2 linked regions of the Macaca mulatta genome follow. The protein of the gene in region 1 interacts with the protein of each later gene in a biochemical or structural test. Links are inferred from orthologs where the notes say so. Each region holds a gene or a part of one and is shown in the gene's direction. Other genes may lie near its edges. The genes, in order: LATS1 and MINK1.

The links.
Region 2: of the proteins of LATS1 (region 1) and MINK1, one has a biochemical effect on the other in vitro, tested with the Homo sapiens proteins (2 studies listed by BioGRID). The link is inferred for Macaca mulatta from reciprocal best matches to the Homo sapiens genes LATS1 and MINK1.

What each region holds. Positions count from the first base shown.
Region 1 is NC_133409.1:68,168,851-68,177,855, reverse strand, and holds part of LATS1 (serine/threonine-protein kinase LATS1), read left to right. Parts: intron 1-5,231; coding exon 5,232-5,741; 3' UTR 5,742-9,005. UniProt on the Homo sapiens protein: Negative regulator of YAP1 in the Hippo signaling pathway that plays a pivotal role in organ size control and tumor suppression by restricting proliferation and promoting apoptosis.
Region 2 is NC_133421.1:6,427,950-6,437,297, forward strand, and holds part of MINK1 (misshapen-like kinase 1), read left to right. Parts: intron 1-287; coding exon 288-357; intron 358-756; coding exon 757-967; intron 968-3,155; coding exon 3,156-3,272; intron 3,273-3,734; coding exon 3,735-3,821; intron 3,822-4,028; coding exon 4,029-4,247; intron 4,248-4,462; coding exon 4,463-4,636; intron 4,637-4,957; coding exon 4,958-5,218; intron 5,219-5,644; coding exon 5,645-5,730; intron 5,731-5,893; coding exon 5,894-6,004; intron 6,005-6,146; coding exon 6,147-6,259; intron 6,260-6,493; coding exon 6,494-6,582; intron 6,583-6,786; coding exon 6,787-6,810; intron 6,811-6,934; coding exon 6,935-7,098; intron 7,099-7,489; coding exon 7,490-7,595; intron 7,596-7,675; coding exon 7,676-7,813; intron 7,814-8,025; coding exon 8,026-8,134; intron 8,135-8,561; coding exon 8,562-8,729; intron 8,730-8,836; coding exon 8,837-8,980; intron 8,981-9,191; coding exon 9,192-9,326; intron 9,327-9,348. UniProt on the Homo sapiens protein: Serine/threonine kinase which acts as a negative regulator of Ras-related Rap2-mediated signal transduction to control neuronal structure and AMPA receptor trafficking.

The sequences.
Region 1 (9,005 bases):
TTCACTGATTTTTTTCCTCTGACATCTTCACTCTGCTATTGAGACTATCCATTGAGTTTTTTATTTTGGTTATTTTTCCATTATAAAATTTCTTTTTGATACTTTATATCTTCAATTTCTTTGCTTGAGACCTATCTTTCATTTCATGAGTGTTGATCCTTATTTGGAGCTTTTTTTTTTTTTTTTTTTTTTTTTTTTTTGAGACGGAGTCTCACTCTGTCGCCCAGGCTGGAGTGCAGTAGTGCGATCTCGGCTCACTGCAACCTCCGCCTCCCAGGTTCACACCATTCTCCTGCCTCAGCCTCCTGAGTAGCTGGGACTACAGGCGCCCGCCACCACACCCGGCTAATTTTTTTTATATTTAGTAGAGACACCACACCTGGTTAATTTTTTATTTTTAGTAGAGACAGGGTTTCACCGTGTTAGCCAGGATGGTCTCGATCTCCTGACCTCGTGATCTGCCTGCCTCAGCCTCCCAGAGTGCTGGGATTACAGGCGTGAGCCACCGCGCCTGACCTGGAACATTTTTATAATGGTTACTTTCAAGTCTTTGTCAGAAAATTCTAGCATCTATGTCATATCAATACTGACTGACTTTTTCTATGTTAGTTGAAATTTTCCGGGTTTTTTGGTTTTTTTTGTTTTTTTGTTTATACTAAGTAATTTTGGATTGTATCCTGGACATTTTAAATAACACATTATGAGACTCTGGATTTTTTTTTTTTTTTTTTTTGAGACAGAGTCTTGCTCTGTCACCCAGGCTGGAGTGAGTGCAGTGGTGTGATCTTGGCTCACTACACCACCTAAGTTCAAGCGATTGTCCTGCCTCAGCCTCCCAGGTAGCTAGGACTATAGGCACGTGCTACCACGCCTGACTAATTTTTGTATTTTTAGTAGAGACGGGGTTTCACTATGTTGGCCAGGCTGGTCTCGAACTCCTGACCTCAGGTGATCTGCCTACCTTGGCCTCCCAAAGTGCTGGGATTACAGGCGTGAGCCACAGGGCCCAGCCGAGACTCTGGATCTTATGGATAATTTTGACCTTGTTTTGACAAGCATTAAACCTGGTTGGGTTCAGGCCACAGGTTCCAACCAGGCTTTTTTTATTTCAATGTCGGTTTCAAAGCCTTTTTTCCTTTCTAGGCAGATCTCTTTGTAGGCTATGGTCTTTTCCTTAGTTCAGTTCTCAAAGTCTTTGTTACGCTCCTTAGGATTAGATTCACATAGGTACAGTTTGGAGGGGGAGCCCAGCAGTTCATAAGCAACTTAATGGGGTCACTTGCCCAATCTCCTCCCTCTCTGTGATGTCCCCAGTACCTTCTTGTTCCCTGGGGCTCCCTATTTTAGTTCTCTGACCAGAAAGTGAGGTTTCACTTACCCAATATCTCATAACTGCACCTGAATCCAGGACAAGGTGGCAAAAGGACACAGAGAGAAAACAAGCAACAGAGATTCAACCCATCTTATTGGGACCCTATGCTTTATTATCATTTTATTTATTTATATATTTATGAGATGGAGTCTCACTCTGTCGCCCAGGCTGGAGTGCAGTGGCACAATCTTGGCTCACTGCAACCTCTGCTTCCTGGGTTCAAGTGATTATCCTAACTCAGCCTCCTGAGTAGCTGGGATTACAGGTATGCACCACCACACCCCACTAATGTTTTTTTTTTTTTGAGACAGAGTCTCGCTCTGTCACCCAGCCTGGAGTGCAGTGGCGCGATCTCAGCTCACTGCAAGCTCCGCCTCCCGGGTTTACGCCATTCTCCTGCCGCAGCCTCCTGAGTAGCTGGGACTACAGGCACCCACCACCTCGCCCGGCTAGTTTTTTGTATTTTTAGTAGAGACGGGATTTCACCATGTTAGCCAGGATGATTTCAATCTCCTGACCTCGTGATCCGCCTGTCTCGGCCTCCCAAAGTGCTGGGATTGCAGGCTTGAGCCACCACGCCCGGCCCACTAATTTTTGTATTTTAGTAGAGACAGGGCTTCACCGTTTTGGCCAAGCTGATCTTGCACTCCTGATCTCAAGTGATCTACCCACCTCGGCCTCCCAAAATGTTGGGATTACAGGCGTGAACCACCGAGCCCAGCCCATGCTTTGTTATTTTATTTCCAATTGGAGAGGAGGGTTCATCTGTCAGTTTTAGGGGCATATTGGCTCTTATTGTCACCTCCATTGCTACCAGGAAACTCCTTTTCTACTCCCTGAGCCTGAACTAGAGGGACTTCTCCTCTAGCTCTCTGTCTGTGCTCAGCTCCTTCCAAGTTTGGGGCTACCTTGAGTCCAGCCTGCAGACTACTAGAGTGAAAAAAATGGAGCTGGGTGTGCTGGCACAGGCCTGTAGTCCCAGTTACTCGGGAGGCTGAGGTGGGAGGATTGCTTGAGGCTAGGAGTTCAAGACCAGCGTGGACAACATAGTGAGAATCCTGTCTCTTATTTTTTTTAAATGGTCACCAGGTTTAATGGTACTTCAAATTTACATCTTCTCCCCAAATCTACCTGTTATTATTTACTTTTCAGGGTCTTGAAGTAGCTGCTTCATGTATCCTGATCAGGTTTTATAGCTGCCTTCTGTGGGAGAGAGACGGGAGAGTATACGTAGTACCTCCTCAAAACTGGGACCTCTCTGGTTGCTTTTAGGATTTTTTTCTCTTTAACTTTAGTTTTCTTCAATTTGACCATGGTGTGCCTATGTGTAGTTTTCTTTGTATTTTTCTTGGTTGAGATTCACTCAGTTTCTTGAAATGTACATTAATGACTTTCATCGATTTGGGGAAATTCTCTGTCATCTCTTCAAAGATTTATTTTGCTTCCTTCTCACCTTTTGAGACTCTAATGATTATACATATGCTATTCCTTTGATATTGTCCTCCATTTCTCTTATGCTTTATTCTTTCTTTTATTCTACATGTTTTCTCTCTGTGCTTCAGTTTATATAATTTTATTCATCCATCTTTGAATTATCTGAATCTTTTGCTGTGCTTAGTCTTTTTTTTTTTTTTTGCCTTAAACTAAAAAATCCTAAATACACATTAAAATAAAAAATGTTAAACTTGGCCAGGCACAGTGGCTCACGCCTGTAATTCTAGCACTTTGGGAGGCCAAGGTGGATGGATCACTTGCGGTCAGGAGTTCGAAACCAGCCTGGCCAGCATGGTGAAACCCTGTCTCTACTAAAAATACAAAAAAATGCCGGGCGCGGTGGCTCATGCCTGTAATCCCAGCACTTTGGGAGGCCGAGGCGGGCGGATCACGAGGTCGGGAGATCGAGACCATCCTGGCTAACACGGTGAGACCCGTCTCTACTAAAAAAAATACAAAAAATTAGCCGGGCGTGGTGGCGGGCGCCTGTAGTCCCAGCTACTCAGGAGGCTGAGGCAGGAGAATGGCGTGAACCCAGGAGGCGGAGCTTGCAGTGAGCTGAGATCGCGCCACTGCACTCTAGCCTGGGCAACAGAGCGAGACTCCGTCTCAAAAAAAAAAAAAAAAAATTAGCCGTGTGAGGTGGCAGGCACCTGTAATCCCAGCTACTCAGGAGACTGAGGCAGGAGAACCACTTGAACCCAGGAGGCAGAGGTTGCAGTGAGCCGAGATCACGCCACTGTACTCCATCCTGGGCAACAGAGCGAGCCTCTGTTTAAAAAAAAAAGGAATTGTTCATCTCATTGTATTTTTTTTTTATTTCTCCTGTTTGAAATAAGTGATGGAACTGGAAGCATAAATAACTATTATTAACTGTATCTTTTTTTTTTCCAAAAAGGTTTTAAAAATATTATATTATTAGTTGAAGCATCTCAATTTTCTAATCTGGGGTAAGACTTTAAAAGGAACAAATAATAGAAGAGGGAGTACATTTTCTTCCCTCTGTAGTAGCTGACTAGCTCCTCTATGAATAAGTAAGATTATAGTGTTCATTTATTCATTATTATTAAAACTTTTTAACAAATATTTATTGACTACCTACCATGGAACAAGTTGAAGATTTTTTTTTTCCTCTTTTGAGACAGGGTCTTGCTCTGTCACCCAGGCTGGAGTGCAGTGGCACAATCACGGCTCACTACGGCCTCAGCCTCCCTGGGCTCAGCTGATCCTCCAACCTCAGCCTCTCAAGTAGCTGGGACCACAGATGTACACCACCAACCTGGCTAACTTTTGTATTTTTTGTAGAGATAGGCTTTCGCCGTGTTGCCCAGGCTGGTCTTGAACTTCTGGGCTCAAGCAATTCACCCACCTTGGCCTCCCAAAGTGCTGGGATTACAGGTGTGAGCCACAGTGCCTGCCCAAGTTGAAGGTATCTTAACTTGGTTAAATGACAATTCTACCACTTAATAGAGTTTGCCCCAAATCCATTTAATATCGTACTTGGAGTTGTATACCAATTCCCCTGCCTCCAAGAGTTCAGCGGGAGAGACTAGGTAGTCTGACTTCACTTGGCATTCCTTTCTTCCTCATTTTATTTTATTCATAACCAGAGCTTTTTTTTTTTTTTTTTTTTTTGAGACAGTGTCTCACTGTGTCACACAGGCTGGAGTGCAGTGGTGCAGTCATGGCTCACTGCAGCCTCAAACTCCTGGGCTCCAGGAATCCTTCTGCTTCAACCTCCTGAGTAGCTAGGACTACAGATGCATGCCACCATACCTGGCTAAGTTTTAAAGTTTTTTTTGGTAGAGAGGGGGTCTCGCTTTGTTGCCCAGGTTTGTCTTGAACCTTCCCAGCTTCAAGCAGTCCTCCCACCTCTGCCTCCCAGGGTGCTGGGATTACAGACAAGCCACCACGCTTGGCACCAGAAAAAGTTTTATCATAATGTATTAAGTATGTGCCAGGCAATTTACTGAGCACTAGGAGATACAAAGACCACTAAAACATGATCCCTAGCCTTAATGGAATTTTATATTTCAGTAGGACATAAACATAAATAGGTACCATAAGGTATTAAAAATGTGATAGAAATAAATATATGGTAGAGGGGAGGCAGAGTAGAAGTAGTCATTTCTACCATAGGCAAAAAGGTTTACTAGGGGAGATTAAAACTGACACTGAGTCTTATAATGTGAGTAGAAGTTGCCTGGAGAGGATGGGATAGGAGAACAAATTATTTTCCAGCAAAATATCATGTAATTTATTTAAAATACAAAAATAGCCCAGTGAGACTTTTGGTATAAAACTTGAAGGAAATTTTTATTTTTCTAATTTATCTCTTCCCCCTAATTTTAAAAAATCTTTAAAGGTTATCAACTGGCAAACATCTCTTCACATTCCACCACAAGCTAAACTCAGTCCTGAAGCTTCTGATCTTATTATTAAACTTTGCCGAGGACCCGAAGATCGCTTAGGCAAGAATGGTGCTGATGAAATAAAAGCTCATCCATTTTTTAAAACAATTGATTTCTCCAGTGACCTGAGACAGCAATCTGCTTCATACATTCCTAAAATCACACACCCAACAGATACATCAAATTTTGATCCTGTTGATCCTGATAAGTTATGGAGTGACGATAACGAGGAAGAAAATGTAAATGACACTCTCAATGGATGGTATAAAAATGGGAAGCATCCTGAACATGCATTCTATGAATTTACCTTCCGAAGGTTTTTTGATGACAATGGCTACCCATATAATTATCCAAAGCCTATTGAATATGAATACATTAATTCACAAGGCTCAGAGCAGCAGTCGGATGAAGATGATCAAAACACAGGCTCAGAGATTAAAAATCGCGATCTAGTATATGTTTAACACACTAGTAAATAAATGTAATGAAAATTTGCAAAAGGGCCTGAAATGCGAGGTGTTTTGAGGTTCTGAGAGTAAAATTATGCAAATATGACAGAGCTATATATGTGTGCTCTGTGTACAATATTGTATTTTCCTAAATTATGGGAAATCCTTTTAAAATGTTAATTTATTCCAGCCGTTTAAATCAGTATTTAGAAAAAAATTGTTATAAGAAAAGTAAATTATGAACTGAATATTACAGTCAGTTCTTGGTACTTAAAGTACTTAAAATAAGTAGTGCTTTGTTTAAAAGGAGAAATCTGGTATCTATTTGTATATATGCTAAATAATTTTAAAAGACAAGAGTTTTTGAAATTTTTTTGAAAGACAGTTTTAGTTTTATCTTGCTTTAACCAAATATGAAACATACCCCGTATTTACAGAGCTCTTTTTTCCCCTCATAACCTTGTTTTTGGTACAAAATAAGCTAGAGAAATTAAGCCATCGTGTTGGTGAGTGTTCCTAGGCTAATCTTAATCTGTATAATTCACATCCTGAAACTAAGGAATACAGGGTTAAAAAATATTAATATGTTTGTCAGAAGGAAAGATAATGCATTTATCTCCCCGCCCCCATGGAATATTTAATCTTCTTGCATTTATTTCTCAAGAATTACTGGCTTTAAAAGAAGCCAAAGCACTACTAGCTTTTTTTCCATATTGTTATTTTTGATGCTGCTTCCAATTTTAAAAGGGAACAAAGCTGCCATAAATAAAAATTTTCAGTACTGAAAGCTAAAATTTTTTTCACCATCCTAAGCAAAGAATTATTTTCATGTTCATGTACTTTTCCTGTATAGTAACTATTTTGATTATATTATCAATGTTACCTGTTTCCTCTTTCAGAACAGTGCTGCATATACAGATTGTTATTGGCAAAGGAAAATCTGGCTATCTGGCAATATTTTACCTAAGGGCAGATTAATTGGTGAAAAAATTAACTCTTAAGATGGCCATTAATAATTAGAAAAATTTACAGAGTGGTCTTAGTAGAAAATTCAAGTCCTCCTAATTTATTTAAGGTTAAATAATGTGTTCAACATGACTATTATGTATAATGCTTAGGTTCTAAGGAAGATTAAGGTTCTATACCAAAATACATGAGCTTATCTTTTAGGAAGGGGAAAAAGGCTCTATTTTGACCATAGTAAAATTTGTATTTTATTTCCTTTTCTTAAGCTCCATTGATAAGGGATTGTTTTTATCAAAAGTTACTATTTGGGGATTGGAGGCATAATTTTAATGATTTTCATACTTTTAGCTTTCTTCACATAAAAGCTAATTGAAACCATATATGTAGTAAAATTAAAGGCAGAGCTGTTGCAGTTGAATTGGAGAGTCAGGGCAAAGAACACTTACTAGCCCACACTTCCTACCTTTCTACAGGTGGTCCTTTCAGAACTCAGCTTGGAAACCTACTACTATGTTATCATGGGTCTTTCGGGGTTAGTGGTTCTTTTGAGAATCTGAAGGAAGCTGTGGACTCTTCCCAGGAAAAAAAAAAAAATCAACACATACAATGTTGCATGCAGTTTCAAGGGATTTTGGACATATTGAAACCTATCACAGGCTCTAGGTTATGGACCTCGGTCCCATGAGAAAATTGATATATTAAACTAAGAACTTTGTTTTTAACTTACCAATCACTACTCAGCACATCTTATATAAACTGATAATTTGTGATGGAAAAGGTCTGTAACATGTGATGTAAGGTGACCTTATGAATGCCTCTCTTGCTGGTACATTAATTTGTTTTAAATGTATCATTTGGAGGGGACTGAAATGTTGGACTCATTACAAGCTTGATACAGAAATATTTCTGAAGGATTTCTAATTGGAATTATAAGAAAATGTGCTCTCATGAAATGGCAGTCTTCACCTCTTGGTTCATGGAACATTTGGTTAGTCCCATAAAATCCTATGCAAAACAAAGTAGTTCAAGAATTTTTAGGTGAGTACTCACATTTATAAGGTATTCCTCTTGCTCTTTGGGCTTTTTCAATCTGATTTATTTAAATTTTCATTTAGTTGTTTTACTTTTGGACTAAGGTGCAATACAGTAGAAAATAACTTTGTTACATTTATGTTGTAGGAAATCTAAGGTGCTGTCTCCTCCCCCTTCCCTTCCCACAAAATCTGTATTCCCCCTATTGCTGAAATGTAACAGACACTACAAATTTTGTATTCTTTTTTTGTTTTTTGTTTTGAGACAGGGTCTCACTCTGTCACCCAGGCTGGAGTGCAGTGGCGCTTCACAGCTCACTGCATCCTCGACATTTGAGGCTCACGCAGTCCTCACACCTCAGCCTCCCAAGTAGCTGGGCATGCGCCACCAAGCCCAGCTAATTTTTGTATCTTTAGTAGAGATGGGGTTTTGCCATGTTGCCCAGGTTGGTCTGGAACTCCTGGGCTCCAGTTATATGCCCACCTCAGCCTCCCAGAGTGCTGGGATTACAGACGTGAGCCACCGCGCCTGGCGCAAATATGTATTCTTTTAAAATTTCCTCTGATACTATAAGCCTTTTGCATTTATCTGAAGCAGTATACATGCCTTTGGTATCAGCAATTTTAACAGTTTGGATATACTTATCAGCTGTCTTATTCCAAAACTACATCTACTTCTTCCAGTATAGAATCTGGTGCTTCCTGACCAAAAAGATGAGAAAAACAATGTTAAAAATATAGATACTTTCCATTGAAATGGAGTGAAAACGTTGGTTCTGTATGTTTTCTTTTAAAATAATTTTCTCATAAAAACTTGCTGTCTTTATTGTACTTACCCTTTTTATGCATATCAATAGTATTTATAAGATGTGTTCTATAATTATGTAATTGTAGATACTGTTATGTATTGTCCAGTGACATCATAAGGCAGGCCCTACTGCTGTATCTTTTCTACCTTCTTATTTGTAATAGAAACTATAGAATGTATGACTAAAAAGTCACTTTGAGATTGACTTTTTTAAAAAGTTATTACTTTCTGCTGTTGCAAAGTGCAAAACTGTGAGTGGAATTGTTTTATTCTGACTTAATATGTTAGAAATTAGAGAATACAGTGGGAGGATTTGTAGACATTGCTGCTGCTGTTACCCAAGGTATTTTAGATCAAAAAATTTAATAAACAGAAATCCCTTTGGTATTTAAAGTGGAACATTTAGCCTGTTCATTTTAATCTAAAGCAAAAAGTAATTTGGGTCAAAATATTGGTATATTTGTAAAGCGCCTT
Region 2 (9,348 bases), on another chromosome or scaffold:
GGAGGACCGGCCTTTCACATCCTTATGAAAACTCCATGCTAAGCACATACGTGTGCGAGCCCAGGCACAGGCTCTGCCACACCTCAGCTGCCCAGGGACCCAGTCCTGGTCCCTGTCCGGGCCCACACCTGAGACACACTGTCCTCCCATTGCTCCCAGGAAGTGGGTGGGGCCCCTCATGCGTGCCCACCCAGACAGACCTTCTGGTTATGCCCACCCGAGGTTTCCCTAGCCCACGGCGGGGTCTGGGGTACTGGGTGAGTTAACAGCAGTGGTCTCCCCTGCAGAGGAGACAGAATATGAGTACAGCGGCAGCGAGGAGGAAGACGACAGCCATGGAGAGGAAGGAGAGCCAAGGTAGGCCTGGCAGGCGGAGCGGGGGTTGGGGGGTCATCACTGAGTGGGGGGACTACAGTGGTGCTTGGCTTTGGAGATGCTCGGCCTGGGGGTGATGGGCACAGAGAGGTAGAGACTCCTAGAAACCAAATTCCTGAGTGCTAAGAAGTGGAACAAATGAGTGAGCAAGAGCTGGGGAGAGAGCAATTCAGGGTGAAGGTGGGGCGCAGCAGTAATAGGAAAGGAGGATAGGGCTGAAGACCGGGCAGCAGGGGACAGTGAGTCTCCTGGCCACCTGGGAGTGGCCAGAGGCAGAGGCTTTGATCCAGTTAAAGCACCCGCTCAGGCGGGCCCACGGGGTTGAGAGTGGGAACCAACAGGGTTCTGACCCCAGCTCTTCTTTGTGCCACCCCTGCCCAGCTCCATCATGAACGTGCCTGGAGAGTCGACTCTACGCCGGGAATTTCTCCGCCTCCAGCAGGAAAATAAGAGCAACTCAGAGGCTTTAAAACAGCAGCAGCAGCTGCAGCAGCAGCAGCAGCGAGACCCCGAGGCACACATCAAACACCTGCTGCACCAGCGGCAGAGGCGCATAGAGGAGCAGAAGGAGGAGCGGCGCCGCGTGGAGGAGGTGGGCTGTCTGCCAAGGGCCCAGGCCTGGCGCGGCCTCCTGCTGACCTTCCCAGGGTCCATTAGGGCCTCAGGGAGAACAGGTTTTAAAATGCCTTAAATGGGGCCGAGCGCGGTGGCTCACGCCTGTAATCCCGGCACTTTGGGAGGCCGAGGCGTGCGGATGATGAGGTCAGGAGATCGAGACCATCCTGGCTAACACAGTGAAACCCCATCTCAACTAAAAATACAAAAAATTAGCCGGGCGTGGTGGCGGGCGCCTGTAGTCCCAGCTACTGGGGAGGCTGAGGCAGGAGAATGGCGTGAACCCGGGAGGCGGAGCTTGCAGTGAGCTGAGATCCAGCCACTGCACTCCAGCCTGGGCGACAGAGTGAGACTCTGCCTCAGAATTAAAATAAAATAAAATGCCTTAAATCAATGGCATTTCTGTTGAAACAGTTACATGATTTCAAATTTCATGATTAGCTGGACTTAACAAAAAATGTGTCTAAATAATAGGCAATAGACCAGATGCGGTAGCTCACTTTCGGAGGCTGAGGTGGGTGGATCACCTGAGGTCAGGAGTTTTTGAGACCAGTCTGGCCAACATGGTGAAACCCCATCTCTACTAATAATACAAAAATCAGCCGGGTGTGGTGGCACGTGCCTGTAATCCCAGCTACTTGGGAGGCTGAGACAGGAGATTCACTTGAACCCGGGAGGCAGAGGTGAGCAGAGATCACACCACTGCACTCCAGCCTGGGTGACAGAGTGAGACTCCATCTCCAATACTACTACTAATAGTAATAACCCGGCCGGGCGCGGTGGCTCAAGCCTGTAATCCCAGCACTTTGGGAGGCCGAGACGGGCGGATCACAAGGTCAGGAGATCGAGACCATCCTGGCTAACACGGTGAAACCCCGTCTCTACTAAAAAATGCAAAAACCTAGCTGGGCGAGATGGCGGGCGCCTGTAGTCCCAGCTACTCGTGAGGCTGAGGCAGGAGAATGGCGTGAACCCGGGAGGCGGAGCTTGCAGTGAGCTGAGATCCGGCCACTGCACTCCAGTCTGGGCGACAAAGCGAGACTCTGTCTCAACAACAACAAAAATAATAATAATAACCCGCAGCATCCACACTGTCCACCTGCTACCCCCAAAGCAGGCCCTCTCATTGTTGAACAAAAAATAATTTGCAAGAAAACCTGCTACAGAAGAGCCTTGTGCAGTTTTGAAAATATAGGCCGGGCGCGATGGCTCACGCCTGTAATCCCAGCACTTTGGGAGGCCAAGGCGGGTGGATCATGAGGTCAGGAGTTCAAGACCAGCCTGTCTAATATGGTGAAACCCCATCTCTACTAAAAATACAAAAAATTAGCCGGATGTGGGTGGTGCACACGCCTGTAGTCCCAGCTACTCGGGAGGCTGAGGCAGGAAAATCACTTGAACCCGGGAGGCGGAGGTTGGTGTGAGCCAAGATCATGCCACTGCACTCCAGCCTAGGGAACAGAGCAAGACTCTGTCTCAAAAATAAATAAATAAATAAATAAAATAAATAAATATAGCGTTCAGATAGCATAGTGACAAAGTCCTATCTAACGGCGTGGAGAAGGCGTGCCAGCAACTTCATTGCAGGAATAGGCACAAGTTCCCTCAAGTGTAAGGGCCCCTTAGGGCTTGCGCTTTTGTTGTTGTAGGCGGTGGTGGCGGTGGTGGTTGTGGTAGACTTTGTGATCGGAAATACCGTGAAAGTCAAGTACCACCTGGGCATCGGGGCTTGCCAAGGAGCGGGCCAGGTCCCTTTTCTGTGCTTTCTGTGCACGGGCACCTGGTGCCCTCTTGTGGCCAAAGTCTATCGCTACGACCCGCTCTGTATGGACTTCAGGCAAAGGTCGGTTTTAGGCTAGGAGTGCTGGGGATGCTTGTTTTGAGTTCGGGTTTTGTTTGTTGTTTGGTGGGGTGTGGGTAGGGGAAGGTGTTGTCTAGCTAAGCACACCCCACAGGCAGCGGTCAGTCTCACAGCCTCTCTCATCACAGCTACTGGCTGTTTTCCCGAGCCCAGCCCCGCGGGCCCTTGGGTGGGGATGGGTATAGTTACAGAAACAAGCGCAAGCCTCCGTGGTGAGCAAGGAGAGCTCCCTCCCTGTCCATGGAGGGACAGTGGTGCCGCGGTGTCCGGTATGGTCCTTAAGACCACCTGGCTCTCCCCATAGCAACAGCGGCGGGAGCGGGAGCAGCGGAAGCTGCAGGAGAAGGAGCAGCAGCGGCGGCTGGAGGACATGCAGGTTCTGCGGCGGGAGGAGGAGCGGCGGCAGGCGGAGCGCGAGCAGGTAGAGCGCCGCACCCACATCCCTGCCCTCCCGCCCTCCCGCTCCTGCTGCCTGCCGCCCCTGCTCCCCGTGCCCTTCCCCCTTCTCTCCCCCCCACCCAGATTCCTCCTATCTTTTCTAGCTTCACTCTTTCTCTCTGTTTTCTCCCACCCTTCAACCCCAACCCTGGCCCCCTCCCTCCTCCTTCCCTGCCTCATTCCCATCTCTGTACCCCATCCCTGATTCTCCCTGGCCCCTTCCTCATCCCCCTCATTCCCTGTGCCCTCTTCTTCCCCATCTGTGCCGCGTGGCCCCCCGGGGCTCATGCCATCCCCTCCCCTACCTCTCTCTTACTTTTCCCCTGCACCCCCTCATCCTCCTCCTGCGGATCCCTTCCTCCTTCTCCAACTCGCTGCTGCTGCCCTCCTCTGCCTCTTCCTCCTTCCCTGCCCTCTGCCCCCCACCCTACACCCCGCCCCCCAGGAATATATTCGTCACAGGCTAGAGGAGGAGCAGCGACAGCTCGAGATCCTTCAGCAACAGCTGCTCCAGGAACAGGCCCTGCTGCTGGTAACGGGTCCCTCAGCGTCCTCTGGGAAGATGCTTTTCAGAGCTTCTTTGCTGGAACGGGATGGGAACACTTCAAGGGAAGGGATTCACCCAAGACATCAAGGGAATACATCTCCTCTCTAGGCAGTTGGAGAAAAGAGAGGGCATGCCTGCTCTGACTCCCAGGCCACACTCTGCTGAGCCCTCTCTCCCTACCCTTGGGCCCAGGAATACAAGCGGAAGCAGCTGGAGGAGCAGCGGCAGTCAGAGCGTCTCCAGAGGCAGCTGCAGCAGGAGCATGCCTACCTCAAGTCCCTGCAGCAGCAGCAACAGCAGCAGCAGCTTCAGAAACAGCAGCAGCAGCAGCTCCTGCCCGGGGACAGGAAGCCCCTGTACCATTATGGTCGGGGCATGAATCCCGCTGACAAACCAGCCTGGGCCCGAGAGGTACTCACTGCCTCCTTTGCCTCCTGAGACTGCAGTCCCACTGCCTGAGGCCTGGAGAGCCACAAGAAGTGGTTGTTCACAGGAACAGGCACCGAGCAGGGGAAAGGAGCACACAGCACACAGCATAGGACAGGAGTGGTGAGGGCGGGCGGGGCCCTCAGTTTTGAGAACAGGGAGGCAAGAGCTGGCCTGCTTGACATCCCTTCACATCACAGGTAGAAGAGAGAACAAGGATGAACAAGCAGCAGAACTCTCCCTTGGCCAAGAGCAAGCCAAGCAGCACGGGGCCTGAGCCCTCCATCCCCCAGGCCTCCCCCGGGCCTGCAGGACCCCTTTCCCAGACTCCTCCTATGCAGAGGCCGGTGGAGCCCCAGGAGGGACCGCACAAGGTGAGTCTCTCCCCACTCCTGTCTTACTGCAGACACAGGGAGCTTTGCTCAGAGCCCAGGTGCACACACACACACACACGCACACACACACCTGCTCAGCCCTGAGCCAGGATTCCAGAGCACAGGCTATGTGGACAGACACACTCACCTGCTTCTTGCTGCCTATGTCTGTCCTGACTTAGCTGTCCTCAGGCTCAAGGAACCCCTTGTCCTTCAATGGAGGAAGGGGCAACTAAAGTCCCTTCCCACCTCAGACCCCGATTTGCAGGTGGGGACCTGCCATGGAGCAGGCAGCCCACCCTCCCTGGTCTCTCCCTGCAGAGCCTGGTGGCACACCGGGTCCCACTGAAGCCATATGCAGCACCTGTGCCCCGATCCCAGTCCCTGCAGGACCAGCCCACCCGAAACCTGGCTGCCTTCCCAGCCTCCCATGACCCCGACCCTGCCATCCCTGCACCCACTGCCACGCCCAGTGCCCGAGGAGCTGTCATCCGCCAGAATTCAGACCCCACCTCTGAAGGACCTGGCCCCAGCCCGAACCCCCCAGCCTGGGTCCGCCCAGATAACGAGGCCCCACCCAAGGTAAGGACAGCCTGTGGGCCCAGGGAAAAGCAAGGAACTAGTCATGAGGAGAAGGAGGGCAGTGAAGGGGCCGCATGGGGAAGAGTGCAGGGCGGGAAGCCAGAGAAAGCTAGGGCGCTGCCCAGCAGGGCTCAGCCGTCCAGCTGAGGAGGCAACGTGGAGGTGTGGCATTGATGCCCCTGGGGAGCGTGGGAACGGAGAAACGCCCAGGGTGTTTCGGGGCCGCTAAGGGGCAGACTTTGTGAGTTAGAACCGCAGCTCCAACCATCTCCCAGCTTCATAACCTTGGACGTATTCACTAACTTCCCTGAACCTCAGTTTTCTCATCCATCAAAGTGAGGAGCTCACCTCTCAGAGGTGAGGCTCAAACATCTCTGAAGTGCCCGTCGCAGCGCCAGCTCGCAGCACGTGGACTTCTCTCCACAGGTGCCTCAGAGGACCTCATCTATCGCCACTGCCCTTAACACCAGTGGGGCCGGAGGATCCCGGCCAGCCCAGGCAGTCCGTGCCAGGTAATGCCTGGGTAGGGCAATGCCTGGGTGAGGTCTGAGGACAGCCTAGGGAGTAGGGGGGCACAGGGACTTTACCAGCCTACCCACCTAGGGGTGGGCAAGCCCCAGCCCCATCACCTCAGCGCCCCCCCGCCCCCTCGGCACCCCTGTGCTCCCTTCACAGACCTCGCAGCAACTCCGCCTGGCAAATCTATCTGCAAAGGCGGGCAGAGCGGGGCACCCCAAAGCCTCCAGGGCCCCCTGCTCAGCCCCCTGGCCCGCCCAACGCCTCTAGGTAATGGAGTCGTACCCCGACTCACTCCCACCTCTCACTTCTGCCACCTGCTTCCCTGGTGATGGCTCCCTCTGCAGTGCAGCTCAGCACCCCAGAGAGGGGAGCACCCTGCCTCCCTGACCCTGACTCTGCCCCCCAACAGTAACCCCGACCTCAGGAGGAGCGACCCTGGCTGGGAACGCTCGGACAGTGTCCTCCCGGCCTCGCACGGGCACCTCCCCCAGGCCGGCTCACTGGAGCGGAACCGCGTGGGAGGTACGTGAGCCAGGGCTGGGCAGCCTGCTCTGGGCCTGGAGTCTTATCAGGATGGACCCTGCCTTTGGTGGCTTTGGACTGGGACACCCACAGGGACAGGGAGGACCTGCGTGGGTATGGAACTCGGGGCTGAGTTCTGGGGCTCAGGGGCAAGGGGTCAGCCCAGGTGTGGGCTTGAGGCCATCCCTTGTCCAGGCATCAGTGACCTTTCTTCTTCCACCCTGCCATGTCCAGCCTCCTCCAAACTGGACAGCTCCCCAGTGCTCTCTCCTGGGAATAAAGCCAAGCCCGATGACCACCGCTCGCGGCCAGGCCGGCCCGCAGTGAGTCGCCTGGTGGCCGGCACCGCCTGCCTCATCCTGGTTTGGGGCTTAGCCCCAGGGAGCTGGGTGCCAGGGGGGGTCTCCGCGGATCTACTGGGAAGGGCTGTGGGGATGGAGGGACTGGTGCTTCTCATGCTACTAACCTTTTCTAACCTCTTTCCTAACATCTCTCCTGGCTCGCTCTTCCCCTGCGGCCCCTCCCAGAGCTATAAGCGAGCAATTGGTGAGGTTAGTGAGATGGGCCTGCTTGTGGGGGCCCCTCCTGTCACCTTGCTGGGGTGTCCCAGCACCCTTTGTCTGCCTCCACCCAGGCCCACCTTCTCCCTGCCCCTCACGTGGCTCCTCCCCGCAGGACTTCGTGTTGCTGAAAGAGCGGACCCTGGACGAGGCCCCTCGGCCTCCCAAGAAGGCCATGGACTACTCATCGTCCAGCGAGGAGGTGGAGAGCAGTGAGGATGACGAGGAGGAAGGCGAAGGCGGGCCATCAGAGGGGAGCAGAGACACCCCTGGGGGCCGGTACGGCATCGGGAGTGGGGCCCTCCCACTCCAAGGCACAAGGAGGGAGGGGAAGTGGCAGTGGAGGGAGAGGTAGGGCTTTGGGGCAAGTCTGAGGGAGAACAGCGCCCTTCTCTAGAGAGTGGGGTGAGGGTGCAGGTTCCTGTCTCTCTCCTGCTGTCCTGTGTGTTGTGGGGTGGCCTCTCCAAGTGCCTGTCTGCTCCTGTGCCAGCCTGCCCTGTGTGCCATGCAGGGAAGCACCTCACGGTGGAACAGGGACTACCCCGTGAGGGTGGAGCAGGTTGTGTTTTGAATAGAGACAAAAGCCTGGGCTCTGGCTTCCATCTGCTGCCTTTGGCACTTCTGTGGCCACGGGCAGGACCTGGAGAGGCCCCACCTTCCTCTCTCACAGCAGCGATGGGGATACAGACAGCGTCAGCACCATGGTGGTCCACGACGTCGAGGAGATCACCGGGACCCAGCCCCCATACGGGGGCGGCACCATGGTGGTCCAGCGTGTGAGTGAGCCTCCGCTGCCTCCCCTGTAGCTGTGTGTGCCCTCCTCAGCCCCGTGCCGACCCTGCCCTCTGTCCTGTAGACCCCTGAAGAGGAGCGGAACCTGCTGCATGCTGACAGCAACGGGTATACAAACCTGCCTGACGTGGTGCAGCCCAGCCACTCACCCACCGAGAACAGCAAAGGCCAAAGCCCGCCCTCGAAGGATGGGAGCAGTGACGTAAGTGGGCCGGAGGCAGGTCCGCTGGGGGAGAAGAGCCCGGGCGGTGGGCAGGAGGTCTGGGTGCTGGGTCATGGCAGAGGATGGGGCGGAGCGCTGGGAGCTGGACAATGGGGGTGCCAGCTGGGGAGCTGGAGCCTGGGAACAGCAGCAGGGGCAGGGCCGCAGCTGGACTTGCACTTGTTTGCCTGACTGCTGCCCCCCCACCACAGTACCAGTCTCGTGGGCTGGTAAAGGCCCCTGGCAAGAGCTCGTTCACGATGTTTGTGGATCTAGGGATCTACCAGCCTGGAGGCAGTGGGGACACCATCCCCATCACAGGTGAGGACGGGAGGACAGACCTGCCATCAGGCTGGGGTCCAGGGGCAGCCTGGAGGGGAGCATGATGGTCTTGAGACGCAGCCTCACAAAGCCACAGGACCTCTCCCTTGGGCTCTAGCACCTGCCCGGGCAGAGAGAAGGAAGGGCCTCTGCGACCCCTCCACAGGAGAGAAAATGCTCACAGTAGCCAGGGGACCTGGGCAAAGACTCAAAGCTAGCAAGTGACAGAAATGGGACTTGAGCCAGGCCTTCTGACTCAAAAGGGGGGTCCAGCACTCTATCCCCCTCTCCCGTGCACCCCTTCTCCTCCCGTCTTTTTCCTTTCTGTGTATTATGAGGCGCCAAGACCTGATATAGGGGATGGAGGTAGAAAGAGATGGGGTGAGAAGCTGCAGCCCCTCCTCCCGCCTCCTCCTCCTTCTGGCAGCCCTAGTGGGTGGAGAGGGCACTCGGCTCGACCAGCTGCAGTACGACGTGAGGAAGGGCTCTGTGGTCAACGTGAATCCCACCAACACCCGGGCCCACAGTGAGACCCCTGAGATCCGGAAGTACAAGAAGCGATTCAACTCTGAGATCCTGTGTGCAGCCCTTTGGGGTAAGCCAGGGCAGGGACAGCTGAGGGGGCTGTGGCGTGGCTCCCATGCTCCTGGTTAGGCAAGGGCCTGGCTGAGCCTCTGACCTGCCCAAGGGCTCCTATTGCAGGGGTCAACCTGCTGGTGGGCACGGAGAACGGGCTGATGTTGCTGGACCGAAGTGGGCAGGGCAAGGTGTACGGACTCATTGGGCGGCGACGCTTCCAGCAGATGGACGTGCTGGAGGGGCTCAACCTGCTCATCACCATCTCAGGTACAGGTGCGGCGAGTGGGGGAGGGAGGAGGGGCTCAGCTCCCTGGCGCTGTCACTGTCTTCTGCCCGGGAGGAGGGCAGCCTTGGTCCAGGCACTGGAAGGTGAAGCGGCACTTTCTCACCCCTTGTGGCATGCCGACAGAGGAGGCCGGGGCGGTGGCAGCCGGGCCTCAGATGAGAACGGGGGTGTGTCTGTCTGTCCGTCCCTCAGGGAAAAGGAACAAACTGCGGGTGTATTACCTGTCTTGGCTCCGGAACAAGATTCTGCACAATGACCCAGAGGTGGAGAAGAAGCAGGGCTGGACCACCGTCGGGGACATGGAGGGCTGCGGGCACTACCGTGTCGGTGAGGATGTCCCAGCGGAGTG